Linked DNA regions of Sus scrofa. The protein of the gene in region 2 binds, or shares a complex with, the protein of the main gene of each other region. Links are inferred from orthologs where the notes say so. Each region holds a gene or a part of one and is shown on either strand. Other genes may lie near its edges.

Region 1 (10,078 bases), on a different chromosome or scaffold from region 2:
TGTCCCCAGGCCCAGTTATGAATGACCCAACCCCAGACTTGGGCTGCCCAGACTGACTTCCCTTGTCCTAGAATTCTCCAGGATTCTCAGCCTGGGCAGCCTGACAACTTTCTGTCTGAGGGCACCCAGAGCACCAACTGTGCTAGAAGTTCAGGGTTACATCTCTTTTTCAGAGATGCTATGTCCTCTAGGCATCTCCCAAACCCTGTGGCCCAACCCTCAGAAGGTCTGGGTCTCCTGACATCCCCACAGCAGGTCTCCCCATCTGTAATCTGTGGAGGCTGAACTGGTCCAGTGACCCCAGGGACCCTAATGCCAGAGAGCTAAGCACCCTCCCCAAGCTTACACATGTGAGGCACAGACCCAAGTGGGTATGCTGGTTTCTAGGCCTGGGTCCGAGTCAGATCATCCCACCAGGCGTGCCTGTGGCTTCCTATCCTGACCAGTCCAGAGGGCAGCCCCAAGAATGAACCTGTGCCAAGTTAGGACCCACTTTAACAGACATGGGAAGCTGGGATGACTCACAAGTGGACAGAGAGAAGGACAGACTCCCAGAGCTGGACATGCGGCCAGAGGCTCTCTAGCCACAGGTCAGGCAGCCCCAAGAATTCTGGTCCCATCTCAGCCCAGGACATCCCTTGAGCCAAAGCCCAGGGAGAAAAGCAGGAACACCCCCCGCCCCACGAGCCCAGAGACAAACTACAAATAAACGTCCCCTTCCCAGGGCCCTTGGGTTAGGGTCCTAAAGGAGCTGCCTCCTGGGTCTCAATGCGCAGGGAAACTGAGGCCAAGGGGAAGAGGCTGGCCCAGGGTCCCCGACAGCTCACTCACCGGGCTGGGCTATGCTCCCTGCTCCTCTGATCTGCAGCCCCCGGGTTCCCAGGGCAGGGTGGGCGCACTGCCAGAGGCCTGGCCTGGTTCTGGCTTTTCTGGGGAGCCACCAAGACCTCTGAGTACGCCGAAGTCACACCCTTCTTCCCTTCCTGGGCACAGGCGGGCCTAGGCTGAGGGCACCTGATAACCTCCCCAGCGTCTGTGGGGCCCCCTTGGGCCACGGTGGAGTCCCAGCTCACAGAGCGGGGAGGCGGCCCCTCTGTGGCAGGAAACCTGGGCCCAGATGTGTGGAGCCTCTGACCCCAGCATGCGGCCATCACAGGAAGAGTGGGCTCCAGGTGGCCTCCAGGTCCTTGTCCTGTCCTCCCAGCCAGGTGAAGCCCAGCATGTGGGCTCCCAGGTCCCCGCTCTGCCTGGCTCCCTCCTACCACTGCTCCAGTGGGAGCTCTGGTGGCAAGAACTGATCAGTCTCCTGTGAGGGACAGCCAGAACTCAGGTGTGGTCCAAAAGAAAGCAGGCAGCAGCCTGGAGAAAAGGTGCTTTGGGGCCCCCCTTAAGGGTGTTTTGCAACAGGCCAGCCACACCCAAGGTGGCAAGGAGCCTGGGGGAGCTCCAAGCAGGAAGGTCCAGGAGCCTCTGCCCCTGTTCTGAACCGTGTAGACTATTCAAAAGCAGCAAGAAATGAAGAAAGTGACTGGACCCCAGAGCCAGGCAGCCCTGACAGGAACCATAGGACCCTGGCTAAGTCACTCCACCTCCCACCTCTGGTCCTTCATCTGGAGAATGGCAATGGTTCACCTACGCTCTGGAGGTGAGAATGGTGGGAGGTGAGGCGATCCCGGCCTGAGCCAGCTGCACAGGGAGAGTCCAGGATCTCAGGCAGAGGGGCCCCCAGGGGCAGCAAAGTAGCTGTGGCCAAGGCTTGAACAACCCCAAAGACCACAGCCCAGCCCACTCACTACAAGCTCTTTATTAACAAGTTGATAAAAAAAGGAAGAGAGAGAGAGATGTAAAAATACTTCTGGTGGTCCCAGGAAGGGGAGGCACTTGTCAGAACTCACCTGGCCAGGGAAGGCAACCCCCAGCCCGAGGCAGAACGGAGATCAGGGCCCTGTCCAGGAGCAGCCAGCCAGACGGGGCTACCGAAAGGGGGAAGGCTTGGGCCTCAGGCAGGGAATGTGCAAACGCCGAGGCCCAGCAGGGAGTGATGGGTTGAGGGCTTCCTGGAGGAAGCCCTGAGCACCGTATTCCCCTGTGGGGGGCAGACACGTGTGTCCACGTGAGAGCCGGTGCTCTGCCCACAGCTTATATACACAGAGCAGAAGGAGGGATCCCCCAGCAGGAATGTCCCAGAGCTTGAGGAAATATTCGAGAAATCTCTGGAAGCCTGAGGGCAAGGGGAGAGGCCGGAGGCTGCTGCTCAGGAGCCCAGGCCCTCCTGCCGGCGCTGGAGGACCTCGATAGCACTGCTGATGCCGTCCTCGGGCACCTGCGGGCAGGTGGACAGAGGAAGGTGTCACGGCTGCTCAACTTCCTGGCCTGACTGGGACCACCTCCTGGGCCCCCTCCTGGGCCTCAGTGTCCCTGCAGGAGCCCTGGCCCCAGACGGTGGTGCTCACCAAGGCATGGTCGAAGTTGAAGGTACTGATGTAGTAGGCAGAGATGTCAGCCGCAGCCAGGGGACCTGCAATCTGGGCCACGATCCCACACTCATCTGAGGGTGGAGGAGGGGGTCCATGTGGATCACCCTGATGCCCCCCTCCTGGCCCTTCCCAAGCCCCCGACACACAAGGTGCAGCCCTCACCAAAGCCCAGGGGCTGTCCGCCGATGCGCACCATCCTCCACAGCTCCCCCGAGGAGCTGGTCAGCAGCAGGTCACTGGGGAACCTGGGGAGGCAGGGGTGGTGGGCAGGGTACCCTGTCTCTTCCTTGCCCCACTGTGAGCCCCCAGAGCAGATCAGCCTGATGACCTTGGAGTCTGATGTTCCACCTCCTTCCTCTTAGGGACTGGCTTAGGGTCTGTGGCCCACCTGGGGTCAGGGGTCACGTACTTTTTCTGTGTCTCAGCATCCATGACAATGGAGATGTAGCCCTCGATGAGGGAGAAAGCAAAGAAGGTGATGGAGCTGGATCCAGGACTGCCAGAGGCTGCCTCCTTAGGGCCACTGGGAAGGGATAGGAGGCTCAGGCACTCTTCCCTCTCCCTCTCTGCCCAGTGGGCCTCTAGACCCCTGGGAAGGGGCTGGCACAGGTGGCCCTGGGAAGATGCTCATGTCCCTGAGCCACTTTCCTCCCCATGCCATGGGTAGGGATGGGGGAGGAGGATGAACCTACTTGTGCCAAAGATGCAGGATCCCAGGACCACAGGGCCTGACCAGGGCACACTTCAGGAGTAGCTCTGCCCACCCCAAAGGGAAGGGCTCCAGCTGCAGCACCAGGACCTTGCCTGAACCTCAGTGAAGGGCCTGTGGGCACTGCAGGCTGCCAGGAACCCCAGACATGGAACAGGGTACAGCACTGCAGAGCCAAGGGACTGGTGGAAGGTGGTGGGACAAAGCGTAGGGAACAAGCTGTGAGATCAAAGAGACAAACAAGGCCCACCTGTGCGAGTAGAAGAGGACATCGATGAGGGTGGTGGCGATGGCTGGCAGTGTCTCAGGGTCCAGCGTGAGGACACAGAAGCGGTTCTGTGGGCTCTGGATGGGATGCACTGTGGGGCTGGGCCCTGCTCAGGGAGCAGGTGGTGGTGGGTGAAAGGGAGACTGTGGGCTGGAGTGCCCCCTGGTGGCCAGCCAGAAAGGGGGCCTGGGCTAGGTGTAGGGTCACTTGCTACATACCGGAATCTGCCTTAGTTTCCCTGCCGTGTCTCCCTATCTTGTGAGGGGGTCAGTGTCAGCTGGTCTCCCCAAGCCCACAGACCCACCCACAAAGGGAAGGGCCCCAGTGGGAAGAGGAGCCCCCACCAGGCCTGGGTGTCAGAGGTGACCCTCACCATGCTGGGCACGGGGAAAGCCGTTGCTGGAATCATCCCTGGCAACAGGAACAGGCTCCCCGCCCACCTCTCGGTAGATATCAAATTCCTGGGCCAGTGTGTGGATCACCACGGATAGGTCCTGCTCCCGCACCTGGGCCACAAAGATGACACAATACACGGGTCCCCAGGCACCCGTGTCCACCCTGCCTTGCCCCAGCACCTGCAGGAAACTCACCAGGATGAAGTCTGTCTGGTAGGTGGACAGCATCAGCACGGACACGTGGTGCTCAGCCAGCGGTGCAATTACTGAGCGGGCAATCTTGGTGACCCCAGCAGCCTGCACTGCTGTGCCGCTGTGGGATGACACATTCAGCACTAGCCACGTGGCCTCGGCCACTTGTAGGAACTCAGACGTGGGCAGCTCTGTGGGGCAGGGGGACACACCCAGTCAGGGCCTGTAGGGCTGGCCCCTGGCCTCAGTTTCCCTGTCTGCGCTTTGGAGGGCTCTACCAAGGTAAGGTCCACTCTGGAAAATAGAGCTGTCCTCCTCCCCCAAGTTCTGCTCCTGAGACCTGCATATATGCAAAGACTGAGAAGTGCTTTGGGTGTTGGCCTGTCAGGGATTGAAACTTCCCAGTTAAAATGGAAGCTTGGAGTTCCCGTCGTGGCACAGTGGTTAATGAATCTGATTAGGAACCATGAGGTTGCAGGTTCGATTCCTGGCCTTGCTCTGTGGGTTAAGAATCTGGCGTTGCTGTGAGCTGTGGCATAGTTTGCAGACGCGGCTCAGATCCTGAGTTGCTGTGGCTCTGGCGCAGGCTGGTGGCTACAGCTCTGATTAGACCCCTAGCCTGGGAACTTCCATATGCTGCGGGAGTGGCCCTAGAAAAGGTAAAAAATAAAATAATAAAATAAAATTGGAGCTCAAAATTCAGACAGACCTGGGTTTTAATCCCAGCTTCATCATTTACTTTCTGTTGACCTGTGGCAAATGATTTAACTTCTGAGAGCCTGTTTCTCCTACAGAAACTGAGTATGTATGCACTGAGTATCAGAGGCCTTACACCATGTGGTACCACCAGGGGGAGCCAGCAGTCCAAGTTGGCTGGGAGATGCCTTCCTCGTTAGCAGACCCAGACTTTTCCGCAGCATAAATAGGGAAACTAAGTAGCCCTGTAGGGGAGGGAGGGAGCCCCAGCTGGCTGGCCAGAGACTCCAGGCCTGTAAGGATGGGTCAAGCTGGCAGGAGAGAAGCCAGATATCAGCTCCAGGGATCAGGGAGGGACCAGGCTGGTGTCCAGTCCAGCACATGGGCCACAGCCAAGGTGGCTGCTAATCGCCCAAACACAGCTAGGAGGCCCCGTAGGATCCTGCCCTGGGCTGGCTGCCGGCTCCTGCATTCCTTCCCCAACCCTCAGACTCTCGGAGTTCCCAGACCAGTCAGGGAGGGAGTGACCCACACCAGGGAGTGAAGCCCAAGGGGAAATAATGGGGTGGGGGGCAAGAACAGCCACAGAAGCCTGATTCTTGCCCCAGAGCTGTAACTGAGGCCCTGCTGCTGGTCTGTGGCTGCTAAATGCCCTTTACACACTGCCCCATTTATAAAACCCTCATGGGGCCAAATAGATCAGAACCGTAACTATATCCATTTTACATAAAACGAAATAAACAACTCAGAGAGGGGAAGTGACTTGATCAAGGGCACACAGCCAGTGAGTAGTGGAAATGGACTGGAACCCAGATCATCTGCCTTCAGGGCCCCAACTCTTGGTACATTAGATCCTAGCATTCTCTTAGAATCCTGCAAAAAGGGGAGGACAACCTCCTTCCCCTACTCACCCTCCCCAGCCCAGTCCCCACCTTTGAAGCCCTCCTCGTCCACCATGAGCGTGTAATCCTCAGGGGTCTCCGTCAGGCTGAAGAATTTGCACCTGGGTGGGGGCAGGGAGCATCTTCAGCCTGGGTGGGCGGAGGGGGCGGGCAGACACCCCCCACCCCGGCTGGGCGTCTCCCTGCCCCCTCCAGACTCAATTTCCTCCCCAGAACAGTGGGGCGTGGGCCCCATCTCCAGAATTGCGAACCGTTTTCCTCCGCCCAGATCTCTGCAGAAGCCCCTGCCCAGCATTCCAAGAGGAAGGAGAGGCTCACCCAAGGCGGCAGTCCCGGGCGTCCGAGCCCCCTTAGACCAGCCCCTCTGACCCGATGAGAGGCAGCTGGAAAAAGTTCTCCGAAGTTGCCAGGAAGAAATGCCCCCATGTGAAACCACTAGGAGTTAAGCACTGACCATCCCAGGCTGTCTGCGCCTTAACAAGCTCTGTGAGGGGGCCTCACGAGCCGGATAGGCGGCGGTCCCAGGGAGGGTAGGCCCAGGCCGGATGGCGGCGGTGGGGAGCGGGGGGCGGGGAGCGCTCTCCCTGTCTGCTCCCGCTGGCCCCGCGGAGGTCCTAATCTCCCGATCCCATCTCAGAGTGACAGTGCAGCCCACCCCCCTCTGTGCCCGGACCCGGACGCGCACCGGCTTCGGCGGGGCAGGAAGAGCAGCTTGATGAGTGGGTGAGTGTAGAGCCAGAGACCGGGCCGGGCGAGGCTCAGCACCCGCACCCGGTGCTCTAGGATGTGCAGCTCCATCGCGGTCCGCGCGGACCCGACCCCACGGCCAAACAGACCCAGGCCGTGCCGGGGGCGGGGCGGCGGGGGCGGTGCCGGGAGGTGCTTAAAGGAGCCGCTGCGCCGCAGAGTCCTAGCCGCCAGCCACGCCAGCTCCCTGACGGCCACGCCGCGCAGGACTGGGGGCCAATCCAGGGTGGCCACGCCTCCTTGTAACGCTAGAGACTCACTCCGCCCCTTATGGCCCCGCCCCTTCGGCATTGGCTCCGGAATCACCACCTAACCCCACCCCCGTCGCGTCCTCCAGGCCCCGCCCATGCCTCTCCCCCACTCCGGGCTCCGCCCTTTCCGCAGGACTCCCGCAGCTGCTCCGGAGAGCCCGGGGAGGCTTGGGGTCTTTTCTGCACTAAGGGCCTTCTGATTAAGTTCACCAAGGCTTGGGAGGGCCACAAGATGAACCGGGGCTCGGCTGTGACCAGAACACTGCTCCCAAATCCTTGAAACATGGGTGGGTAGGGGTCCACTGTGCAACCTAGGAGACGTTGTTGTTCTGTCCCAATAAAGGGTCCTGGCACCTTTCCCTCTCCTTCCTCTGATGGCTTAGCATGAGGCAGGGCCACCAGAACTGGCTGGGGTGGCAGTGAAAAAAGTTCCACAGCCCAGGATAGCACTGATACAAACCCCTCCAAGCTTTGTGAGCCCTGTGAGTGGGCTAACAAGATGAAACCCAACCTGAACTTGGTGGTCCCCACATCTGTTCCTCTCACCCACCTTTCAGAGTAGAAGGCTCCCCACCAGAATCAAAGATGGGGAGGGCCCCAGCTACCTCTGAGCAATACACTGTAGGGTAGGGAGCTGAAGGTAGTCTGGACTAACATTTGAGGCTTAAGACTTAAGTATTTGGGACAGGAATGCCCAAAGCTCAAACTTTGGGGGGCAGGGCCATGCATCCAGAGCCCAGTGTGTAGTCAGACTTAAAAGCCTACAGTCATTAGAACTTGGGCCTGAGCACATTTAAGCTTGTTTCATGTCCAAGGAGGCCCCCAGATCTGAAGCTTGTTAGTGCCACCTTGGGTTCATTTCAACATTAGGGCTGGGGTCTGCTCAGGCCTCTCAGGTTTGCAAAGACCCCAGTGCTGAGCAGACATCAGCACACCTAGGTTGGTTTCCCAGCAGGATGGGACATGTTCCAGGGGCCCTTGCCTGGCCTGCACATCCTCAGGCCTCAGATCCAAGGCTTTGAACCAAGCAGGTTAAAGCAGGCCTCAGGCCTGATTGGGTCCCAGCAGGCCTGAGCAGGCCTCCTACCTGCTGGGGCGGGCGGGCGTGGGGTGGGGGGTGGCGGCAATTGCACGCAGCTAGTAGTGGGGCAGCACCTTCCCTCCCTGGACTCACCAGTTTGGTGGGTTCTGCTGGAACACTGCAGCCACCACATCCTGGCCAGACCCCTAGAGGGCCAGGGGGTGGGAGGTGTCCTCAGGAGGCTGAGCCCCTCATCTGGTTGACGGCAGGTGTACATGGGGTAGGAAGCCACAGGGGTAAGGGGCAGGAGGTAGGAAGGGTGTGGTTTGCCCTGACAGATTCATGTGACCCTTGACCTCCTCAGGCCTCAGTATCCCCAGCTGTACCAGGACAAGATGTTCCAGGCTGAGGCCCTGAGATGCTTAAAAGCTCCCAGGGAGGCTCTAGTCCTGCCTCCCTGCTCCCCCATTGCCCAGCCCAGCTTGGTGGCCAGCCAAGAACAGTCACTATTGTTTGACTGGAAAAGCTGCTTCCTCAGCAGAAGGGGGGCCTCTCCCAGGGACACCCTGTCCTCACCCTTGCCAGTCATCAGCTATGACACTACTGCCAACTTGGGCCTTCAATGGCAAAGTCAGGAGAGGTAGTTGGGGGCTCTGGGTACAAATCTGGATCAGCTTCATTTTTCCCACTTAGCTCCTGTTTCCTTATCCATAAAAGGGGGACAATAATAAAACCTACCTGATCAGGCATGTGACACAACCAGCCCAGCCTGGCATATGCTACATGGCAGGTAGCCTTTCATCAAAGATACAGATTTGGCCCCACACCCCTTTGCTTTTGATGGAGGCCTGGGATGAGCATGTGAGGGCATTCATGATCCCTCACTCTTGGCACCAGCACCCAACCCAGAATGAATACTCATTACCTTATTGGGGTCCAAAATAGCATCCAGGCTAGACCTTAGAAGAGGAAGACCCTTAAAAGGACCTCCCTAAGGAACCCCTCCCCTTCGGTGATGGGCAGGGATCAAGGCCTGGGGAGCAGGCTCTGCTCTGCCCCAGCACTAGTGACCCTCATCCATGGCAGATGGTGAACATGGGTCAGAGGGGACAGGATAAGAGGATACAGGGGCCAGGAATAGGAGCGGGCCCTAGATTTGGCCTCCCCTCTGGCAAAGGTACTTCCCAGAAAGGCTCTAGTGCTGCACTAGGACCAGGATGGGGCCTCTGCAGGGTATGGAGAAGAATGCTGAGCACAGCGGGGGTCGGGGAACAGACCCCCCTCTCCAGTCCCTAGCTGCACACCAGCTCTCTACACAAGCCTGTTTATTTCTGTACAAAACCATGTTTCTATTTTACACAAAGAGCACCCCACCCTTTATCCCTCCCTCTCCCCTCACATCAGTGCCCTGGTCCCGGAGAACATGCCTCCAGGAGGAGGGGGCCAAACAAGGCCTCACCCACTTCTGCCTGCCCCAGCTGGGCCTGCCCAAGCTCCACTCTGGAGAAAATAAATAAGGAGGCTCAGGCAGAATCTGTGCTGGGCCAGCCAGACTCCCTGCCGACCAGGCGACCGGGCCCTCAGAGGGTGGGCAGGCCCTGAAGTCAGTCCATGTACTGTATAGGTGTGTGGAGACCCCAGCCCCGGGGCCTGAGCTGCCATGGTTACAAGTAGGTGTCCTCACTCTCCTGGGATGTCAGGCTCTCCTGGGAGCGGTGGTGGGCTGTGTCCTGGGGAGCTGAGTCTTGAGGGGCTGGGTCCTGGTGGCCTGGGTCCTTCGAGGGCACATCCTGTGGGGGACATGCATCTCCAGCAGCGGCCACCACTTTGGCTTGACTTGTGGTTGTGGGCTTGTCTGGCTGCCCACTCGCCTTCGCCTGCTTCCGCTGTTCCTTCTGCTCCTTCTGGACCTGCTTGGATGGCTTGGACTTGCCTTTGGAGCCAGGGAGGGGGGCGTCCGGAGGCAGGCGGATGGATGGTGAAGGCTGCAAGGTGGGCCATGGGCCAGGCTCTGCCTCCAGGATGGCCTTGGCGCCGTGCAGCCTGGGCGACGAGTGGCACTGCAGTTCACCCCGGGTCTCCTGCCAGCGCCGCAGCTGGATGAGGTGCTCGCGCTCAATCTGGCGCTCTGTCACTGACAACTCTACCACCTGTAGGGGTGGTGACAGGCAGGTGGGCACCAGGAAGAAGAACCTTCCCCTTCTGCCCCCCAGCCTGGGCCCCTGCTCTCCCTCAGCTGTCCCAGCCCTGGTCACTAAAGTAGTGGTGGTCAAAAGTCCCTGAGTGCCAGGTGAGCCAGGAGTTTTATACTCACTGCCTCAGAGGAGAAAACTCCCCACAACTCTTGAGTCTACTTGCCTAACTATGTGTCACCCCATTTCAGCCCCAGATACAAATCCACAATGGAAAGAAAAAAAAGG
Region 2 (9,520 bases):
ACCCCTAGCCTGGGAACCTCCATATGCCGTGCGTATGGCCCTGCAAAAAGACAAAAAAAAAAAAATTTTGCCCACCTTGATATGTTTTATTTTGTTTTAAAACAAACCAAATTAAAATATTTTAAGATCATATACAATTAAAGAATAGAAAATGTAGTTAAGCAATACTGTGCCTATTAAGATATAATGCTACATTCAAAATTTCAGCTGGGCCATTACTAGTCACACTTTAATGACCACTGGGATAGTCTTGCAAATAATTTTTTAAATACCCATGTTTTCTGCTAATGGTATGATGATGAAAGGATATGAAGGTGGTTCAAATATTTAAGATATAAGTACACTGAAATTCTTCCTAAAGGCTTAATAAAAACAATTAACAATGAAAGGGAAGAAAAGAAAGAAGAACAAAAGAAAATACCTTTAAAAGATAGGGTATTTTATACCTTTGTGTATAGTTTTCATTAGGAATTTTCACTATGTTTTTGTAACTTTTTGTTTGTTTGTTTTTGTAACTTCTAATACAAGGATAAAACCGACTGAATCCAGGACACATTAATCCTTACGTTTCTGATGAAGCTGAAAATAACAGGTCTACCTCACTGCCATGTGCAAAGGATTTTTAAAATCAAATACCTTTTGGAGTTCCCGTTGTGGCACAGCAGAAACGAATCTGACTAGGGACCATGAAGTTGTGGGTCCCATCCCTGGCCTCGATCAGTGGGTTAAAGGATCTGGCGTTGCTGTGAGCTGTGTGTAGGTCACAGATGAGGCTCCAATTCCGTGTTGCTGTGGCTGTGGTGTAGGCCTGCGGCTACAGCTCCAATTATACCCTTAGCCTGGGAACCTCCATATAGCGCAGATGGGGCCCTAAAAAGACAAAAATAAATAAATAAATAAATAAAAATAAAATCAAACACCTTTTAAGTTCAAAAGATTTATAGTGAATTATGAAGATAAATGCTACAGAATAGTTGAGGTTAACCAGAGTTTCACATAGGAACTAAGTAATAATAATAAAAGGGTGAAAAACTACTATATAATCCAATTCTAAAAAATTTATCACATCTAAAAGTTAAGCTCTATAAGGGCAGAGATTTTTGTTTTGTTCACTGTTTCAGCGCTTAGACCAATAGGTACTAAATATACACTGTTAAATAAATAATGTTTATAATTTTTAATGTTAAATATTACTGTTTGCAAGTTATAAACATTATAAACATTTATAATTATAAACTCAATGTGACAATTTCAGTAGAGCTTCAAGCTTCAAAGTACAAGGGAATGTAAAAATTCGCAACCCTCAGTTAAATAAGCTTATGAAAATCCTGGCTATTTGGATCATAAAACATGATGGATGGAGGGAGGTAAAGCACCACAGGGGTTTATACACCTGTATCTTTAAACTGCCATGAGCCAGTATTTGATTTCTATTAGGTCCTATTTTATTTTGGAATTCAGATTCTTCTGATTTTACCAAAAAAAAAAAAAAAGAAATAGGAAAGTTAATTATTTTGTAATTGGCTGAGTAATGGTCTTTAAAGATCATACACAGGCTCCCCTAATTTTCCTACACTGTTTCCTATGAGTCTGTTTCCTAGGCCACGTCACATCAGTACATTTGGTAGTTCCCATACCCTCTCTATATTTATCATTTTCACTAACTTTTTACCCTAGTTCATGCTTTTTACTCTTTTTCTACAACCTGACAGGCTTCTCTAAAATATTCACATATTTAAATCTACCAAACTTTAAAGGACCAGCTTAAAATGGCATCTTCTTTTTGAAGTTTCCCAGACATTATTCAGAGAAAAGGTATGTTACCCTCTTTCAAAATTCACAATACTGTCTTCTTATATTATCTCATTTACCTCACAGAGCTAAATATGTTTCAGAATTTGGAATATTTTGGGGTTCTGGAAAAATAATGAACAAATATTATATAACACCTCCAGGAAAAGTCTGAACAGCATCCTGTAATTAACATATTAGTGTTTCTGCAGGGAAGCATGTGAATGTTCACAAATAAGAGAAAGATTGCAATAACCTCATGTCAATTCTGAACAGCTATTTTTTACCAAATGAGATTATGGTAAATTCATTAAAAACAAAAAAGCCAACCAAAACTTTGGCTTTTCAGATCTTTAAGAGATTTTGGAATGGTAAATAAGAGATTCTGGACTAGTACCTATTTTCTAGAAAATATAACATCTCATTTTATGTTAGGTATCCATGCTCATCGTATACCATGAGCTCCATGAGGACGTCTGGTACGTCAGCCTTAACTTAGTGCCTTAAACAAGTACTCAAATCAATTTAAGGAATTATTACTGAAGCAAATTTAGAAAAAATTTTTTGAAGCAAATATGAGAAAATGCTAGGATATGATATACTGGGTGTTGAATATTCATTAAATTAATAGTCTCCATAACATAAAACTTAAAATGTTTTATGATTTAATTTTCAAATTCTAGAAAATTGCTTTTATCTTTTCTCACCCATTTCAAAAATAGAAAAAAATTGAAAAACTATTATCTAGCAAAAAGTAAGCGCACTCTGGCCATTACAGTTTTCTGAGGTTTATGATCCAAAAGATGCATTAAATTGAACTATTTCTGGAATTCCGTAGTGGCCTAGCAGTTAAGGATCTGGCATGGTCAGTGCTGTGGCACAGGTCATTGCTGTGGCATGGGTTCAATCCCTGGCTTCCGAACTTCAATGTGGCATGAGTGGAGCCAAATAAATAATTAAATTGAACTAATTCCATGTATCTCAGATCACAAAGAACTTACTTATACTATATTTTGCCTCCTTCTTCTTTCACTGTACAGATTTTTATTCCAAATTGTTATTTCCTATTTATTAGTATTGAGGCCATAAAAAAGTGATCAACATGCAGTATAAAAAATAAAAATATCTTCAATTAAAATTTAAATCAAAACTAACATGTGCATTTGAAAATATTACACACAGCATTTGTTTAAAAAAAATAACTTAATGATACCAGCAAATCTCTTTCATAGATACTAATGAAACAATAAAATAGACCACTCACAAGAACCAGCTGCAGAGTGGAAATAGAAAATTTCATAACTAACAAGGATCTCCCAGTCCAGCACCTCATATGAAAGATTACTAAAGAGACTGTTGTCACCAGTGTCACAGACTCAATTCACAGAGTCACAACTAAAAGAGGAGTTCTGATACTACATCTGCTTTTTTTTTTTTTAAGGGCTGCAGGTGTGGCATATGGAAGTTCCCAGGCTAGGGGTCAAATCAAAGCTGCAACTGTCAGCCTAATACCACAGCGACAGCAACGCCAAATCTGATCCATATCTGCGACTAACACCACAGCTCATGGTTATACTGGATCCTTTACTCACTGAGCAAGGCCAGGTCTGGAGCCCACATCCTCAGAGGTATCAGCTGGGTTTGTTTCTTTTCTTTTTTGTTTTTTTAAGTGGGGTTTGTTTCTGCTAAGCCACAATGGGAACTCCCATATCTGGTTCTTTTTTAATTATTTTTTTACCAGTGTCCCAGATTTTCAAATGTTTTTAATTAAAATTTTTGTGACAGTATCATTTTCAAGTTATATAAAAGCTAAAATATTTCTAGCCACTAAGTATCTTACGTTTAATTATCTATTATTCTCAAAAATCTTCTGTATGTTTACTTTAAATAGTATACAATATTCCTTATTATCTCTCATGATTAAATACACACATACACATATTTATACAGTAACTGACAAATGTAGCAGAAGCAACACCAAAACTCAGAAGTAAAGGTATCTGATCACTAGGTTAACACTTTCTGTACTGCCATAGGTAGATTTTGAAGAAGAAATTGGAGAAAATGTGAAAGTGCTCTGAGACTACCAAAGTTCTTTATGCATACAAGGTATTCGTTACTAAATGAGGCCATTCTGACTTTTAAACATAAAATTTGAGGGAGCTCCTCTTAGAAAAAGTGATATGAAAATAGTATAAGATTATTTAGTATTTAAGCTCATCTTATAAACTTTAAGTTGGCTAGCATTTGTGAGATTACCTAAGATATGATGGATATAGATTTTACTTTAAATGTAGATTTTATAAATTATAGAGAACATAAAAACCTTCAAGCCAGCAAAGTGGCTTGCTCTTAGAAATAATATAAACTCAAGCTGGAGTGTCTTTTATTTATAACATTAAATCAATTATGGAGAAACAATTTCAGCGCAGAAAAGTATACTGCAGAAACATGACATACCAGGACAACTAGAAACAGGTGTTCCCATATTAATGAGGCAAAGTGCACATCGAGGAAGGGGTTTTCGACATCCAGGGCAACTTGTGACTTTAGATTTCGTTGGTGATCCACTGACACCATACTGACTAAAACCTCTGCCCTGATGGGGCACAGTTGAACAGCTATAGGAGATAGACTTCCCACAAAAATTGCAACTCACAAACACCTATAAAACAAATGAAAGAAGGAATAAATATAATTGAAACTTAAAAAAAATTTTTAAATAATCAAAGACTGATCCTAACAAATTGCTTGTAAAATTTTTTAGGAGTTCCCATTGTGGCTCAGCAGGTTAAGAACCTGATATAGTGTCTGTGAGGATGTGAGTTTGATCACTGGCCTCGCTCAGTGGATTAAGGATCCATAATTGCCACAAGCTGTGGTGTAGGTCACAGATGTGGCTCAGATCCTGCATTGCTGTGGCTGTGGTATAAACCTGCAGCTGCAGCTCCAATTCGACCCCTAGCCCAGGAACTTCCATATGCTGCAGGTGTGGCCCTAAAAAGAAAAAAAAAATTTTAATTTAATTCTATAAAATAATTTATGTGCTAAGATGACTTGCTCTCATTTAAGACTTCCAATTAGCAATTACATTATTTGAGTACTTCTCTGTTACTTTTGTTTAGCTATATTCTTCCTAACACCACTGACATCTGCAGAAAAACTTGGAACACAAATTCCCAACATTTTTGAAAAACAAGGACTTTAGAGTTCACACTGGACATTACAAAATATCCCAATATGACTTTTAATACAAAGTTCAATGGTATAGTTTCCTGCACAAAATTTTCTTACTAAGAAAACACTCATTTCCTAAGATAAAAAGGAATTAAGGGATCCTGTAATAGTAAATAGTTAAAACTTTAAAATAATAGCAATAGAGATTGTTCATTTTACTTTTACATTGAATTCCTAGGTTTTAAACACTTATCATATAGATCAGTAACAAACATTATCACATAATGCTATTCTACTAACACTCAGGTTGTTTTAATATAAACACTAATTTTTCAAATTTCTAAAATAAGAAAATAGCACCATCAAGTGCTCACATTGAGGATATACCTGCTATTCAATGCCTGAACTGAGACACAGCCACCTCATGTCAAGTGTTTTATGTGATAACTGATCTCGTTTTTTTTTAATTGAAGTATAGCTGATTTACAATAGTATGTTAGTTTTAGGTATACAGTAAAGTTATTCAGTTAGATATATATTCTCTTTCAGATTCTTTTCCATTATATGTTATTATAAGATACTGAATATGTTCCCTGTGTTACACAGTAAATCCTTGGTGTTTATCTATGTTTTATACACACACACAGTGGTGTGTTGATCTCACGGTCTTTAAATTATTGCTAGAAGAAAAAAAATTTCCATGTGTTTAATTAAACATATAGGTTTATATGAATATACTATTAAAGAAACAACTCCTGCCTTATTACATATAAGCAGTACAGAAAAAAATCAATACATAAGTGGAATTTATAAGATCATACAGTTTAGATTCTAAAAGGGCTTGGAACATACTAGGAAACATGGGAGAGCAGACAGCCCTAGGATTGATTTAGGTTTGCCTAAGATTTTATAGGCTGGCTGTGCTTTGCTCTGTGTCAGACTAAAGGTCAAGTCACTGAGATGATTATTAGGAAGTGGCAGGATGAAAAAAACCAGCAAGATTAACGAAAGTGCAGTCTGGGATGGAGAGAGACATAAATGGGAATTCAACATGAATGAAAGATGAGTTTATTAATAATAACGTATTAAAGTGAACTCTCAAATTATTCTATATAACACACTGTAAACATTTCTAATTTTTTGCTGGGATATTAGGTACATGTTACAGTTTGATGTTCTCCAAAACAATTTACTTACCTGTGCTAAAGGCTTAGAACTGGGATCCAACTTACTCCTGTGAATATCAAATTCAGCTCGTTTGTGCCAAAACCTCCAGGCATCCAATAAATTTCTGTAATTCTCAATCCAATACTGAACTCTTTCATCTTTAAGAACATCTAAAGGAGAACCCTAAAAAGAAAACATGAATTATTTCAGTTTTTTAAATATTCCTGGTTAAGGCTGAAGATTCTAGGTAACATGAATCTGAGTAACTCGGGAAAAAATAGGCCTCCTTTTTGCCAAAAGCTGGCTCCTAATCAGGATATAGACATATTAAATGATGGACGTTCCATTAATTTACTTTAAGCTGGCCTCTACTAATGACATGAATATGCACTGGCTAGGGAAGTTAATTTTATCTTATTTAAGTTTAAAGACCTAAGAGCAATCAATTCACCTTCCTGGTTGAACGCAGTAACAAGTGACATGAATACTCTTTGTCCCAACAACCAAAACCTCTAGGTTCACAAAATACATTTACTATTTCATTCAAATACACACTAAAATTGCTTAATCACATTTAAAATAATACTGAGCCTGGTCCTTCATATCTAGCAATGCATTATGAATTGAGATGCTTTTTCTGTAAACCTATTTATATGAAAGTTAAACCTGTCCATTCTGTCTATAGCCCTCAATTAAACATAAATTTATCACCTTAACAATTAAAAAACAAAAAAAAAAGAAAAAAACCCCAAAATTGAAACCAAACTATTTAGTTCTTTTGCCTCTAGGCCACAGTGAAAAGCAACAATTTCTTTCCCTAAATTTACTCTATATCCCTTCTCATTAAGAACTTCAATTTCCTGCTACTAAAAATTTCCCTAAAGCTATATTTTGTTTTCCTTCTTTTTTTGTCTTTTTAGGGCCACACCTTCGGCCTATGGAAGTTCCCAGGCTAGGGACTGAATCAGAGCTGCAGCTGCTGGCCTATGCCACAATCACAGCAATGCAGCTATGTCTGTGACCTATGCCACAGCTTGCAGCAACGCTGGATCCTTAACCTGCTAAGCAAGGCCAAGGATTGAACCCCCATCCTTGTGGATACTAGCAGGTTTTGTTACTGCTGAGCCACAACGAGAACTCCCTAAAGCTATATTTTCCCTGGCAGCTGTGACAGTAAATATTTCCCCTATGCTTGCTTTGGGTTTTCATAGAATGCTTTTAGCTTCGTTCAGGATATCATGCTTATCTTCACATGATGAAGAAAATAGCGAAGTCTTTACCCCCTTGATTCAATGGGCATTAATCTGAAGCCAAGTTTTCCCAGTCCTCTTTGGGGCCACAGAGAAAGTAAAATGATAGCGAGAACTAAGCATACATCTTATGGAAAATGGGAAGAAACCTATAACAGCTAATAAATAAAATCTACCTTTAATCATTCCATCAGATAGAAGGAGCATATCTTTCACCTAGTAATTAAGTACTAATTGCAATTACCAGAGTTAAATTTAGTTAAAAGAACACATGAGAAACTCATAGTTGACAATTTCATTTCTTAAAAAAGTAAACACCTACTGTAGTCTCAATTATGACAAACTAGCCAGAACTAAGTACTAAACTATAATACAATCCTTGATATAGAAAGAAAATTCACAGAAAAATCAGAAATCTTCATGCCCTACTCTTTCCCCTCCCACGGCAATAAGGATAAACTAAGAAAGGATTTGGTCAATTCATATTTGGTAAGTTACCTTGATAAAACTTAAAATCAAGTTCTGACAAAGTCTGCAGAGAAAACAGTTCAGAGATTAAGTCTGACCATGCTAGAAGGGCTTAGGAAATACTATAGGCTTTCCACAGAAACAAAATCTAAGACCAAAGTGATAAACAAGTAACTGAATTTCCAAAAGCATAAACCAACACTCTTCAGAAGAAAAGGGGAAAGAACCCATATCTCTATAATCTACTGCAATGTCCAATATTCAACGAAAAATCACTAGATACATAAAGAAGGAGGTAAATGTGGTTCAAAGTAAAGAGAAAAGCAGTCACAACAACTAAATCTTAAATAGTTCTTATGTTAGAGTAAGCAAAGACCTCAATGCATCTATTAGACATGTATTCAGACTTAAATGAAAACAGTGTTTTAATTAGCCAACAGAGGGATCAAAGCTGAAAAATGTAAACTATTAAAAAAACAGAGGAGTTTCTCAGCAGGTGAAGAACCCAACGGAGTGTCTGTGAGGATGCAGGTTCAATCTCTGGCTTCACTCAGTGGGTTTAAGGATCCAGCATTGCCATGAGCTGTGGTGTAGGCTGGCAACTGCAGCTCCAATTTGACTCTTAGCCCAGGAACCTCCATATGCCACAGGTGCGGCCATAAAAAGAAAAAAGAAAAAGAAAAAAAATTGAGACTCTAGAACTAAAAAATACAGTAACTGAAATTAAGAATTCCCTGCAAAACCTAACAGATGGAAGGTGACAGAATAGCCAGCCAAGTAACAAGTCAACAGAATCTATCCAATTTAAAGAACAAAGAAAAAAAGAAAATGAACAGAGCCTCAGATACCTATGGGACAATAAGAAATGGTTTAATATACATGTAATAATAGTCCAAGAAGGGAAAGAGAATGAGATAGAGGCAGAGAAAAATATTTAAAGAAATCATGTCAAAAAACTTCCCAAATTTGACGAAAAACTTTAACATGCAAATCCAAGAAGTTCAGTGACTCACAAGCAGGATAAAAAGAACCATACTTAGGCATCAATGTGAAACTGCTTAAAATAAAAAAAATAAAGTGCTGAAAGAAAATGAGCAAAAAAAAAAAGTGAAATAGACATTTTCAATTAAGATTAAGCTGAGAGAATCCATCACCAGTAAATCTGAACCATAAGAAATGCTAAAGAGAGAGACCAAAGGGAAATGATATGAGGTGAAATTTGCGTCAACTGTAAGGAATAAACAGCACCAGGTATGGTACATAAGTAAATAAATATAAAAGTCCGTGTTTTCATTCTTCACATAATTGATATCAAAGACAAATGACTGTTCAAAGCAAAAATAGTAACACTGTAAGCTGAGGTTTATAATGTATGTAGAAATAAAACACATGACAGGAGTTCCCGTCATGGCGCAGTGGTTAACGAATCCGACTAGGAACCATGAGGTTGCGGGTTCGGTCCCTGCCCTTGCTCAGTGGGTTAACGATCCGGTGTTGCCGTGAGCTGTGGTGTAGGTTGTAGACGCGGCTCGGATCCCGCGTTGCTGTGGCTCTGGCGTAGGCCGGTGGCTACAGCTCCGATTGGACCCCTAGCCTGGGAACCTCCATATGCCACGGGAGCGGCCCAAGAAATAGCAACAACAACAACAACAACAACAACAAAAAAG

What was found.
Region 1: the proteins of MIOS (region 2) and CASTOR1 are in contact, whole or in part, in a cryo-EM structure (PDB 9LVK), measured with the Homo sapiens proteins. The link is inferred for Sus scrofa from reciprocal best matches to the Homo sapiens genes MIOS and CASTOR1. Residues at the interface, in NP_001357005.1 of Homo sapiens: Ala83, Asn84, Val109, Pro110, Lys111, His112, Ala113, Arg114, Asp134, Lys135, His136, Arg137, Asn184; in NP_001032755.1 of Homo sapiens: Val94, Ser116, Thr117, Tyr118, Gln119, Thr120, Asp121, Thr188, Tyr236, Leu255, Thr256, Ser257, Ser258, Ala295, Tyr296.

Annotation. Positions count from the first base shown.
Region 1 is NC_010456.5:47,260,121-47,270,198, forward strand, and holds CASTOR1 (GATS-like protein 3), read right to left. Parts: upstream 6,610-10,078; 5' UTR 6,438-6,609; coding exon 6,325-6,437; intron 6,311-6,324; exon of another isoform or gene 5,958-6,310; intron 5,741-5,957; coding exon 5,670-5,740; intron 4,233-5,669; coding exon 3,828-4,232; intron 3,561-3,827; coding exon 3,437-3,560; exon of another isoform or gene 3,170-3,436; intron 3,001-3,169; coding exon 2,887-3,000; intron 2,723-2,886; coding exon 2,640-2,722; intron 2,549-2,639; coding exon 2,454-2,548; intron 2,324-2,453; coding exon 2,255-2,323; 3' UTR 1,785-2,254; downstream 1-1,784. Other genes in the region: TBC1D10A (TBC1 domain family member 10A), read right to left, coding at 9,323-9,808. UniProt on the Homo sapiens protein: Functions as an intracellular arginine sensor within the amino acid-sensing branch of the TORC1 signaling pathway. As a homodimer or a heterodimer with CASTOR2, binds and inhibits the GATOR subcomplex GATOR2 and thereby mTORC1.
Region 2 is NC_010451.4:77,877,359-77,886,878, reverse strand, and holds part of MIOS (WD repeat-containing protein mio), read right to left. Parts: intron 6,319-9,520; coding exon 6,166-6,318; intron 4,457-6,165; coding exon 4,252-4,456; intron 1-4,251. UniProt on the Homo sapiens protein: As a component of the GATOR2 complex, functions as an activator of the amino acid-sensing branch of the mTORC1 signaling pathway. The GATOR2 complex indirectly activates mTORC1 through the inhibition of the GATOR1 subcomplex.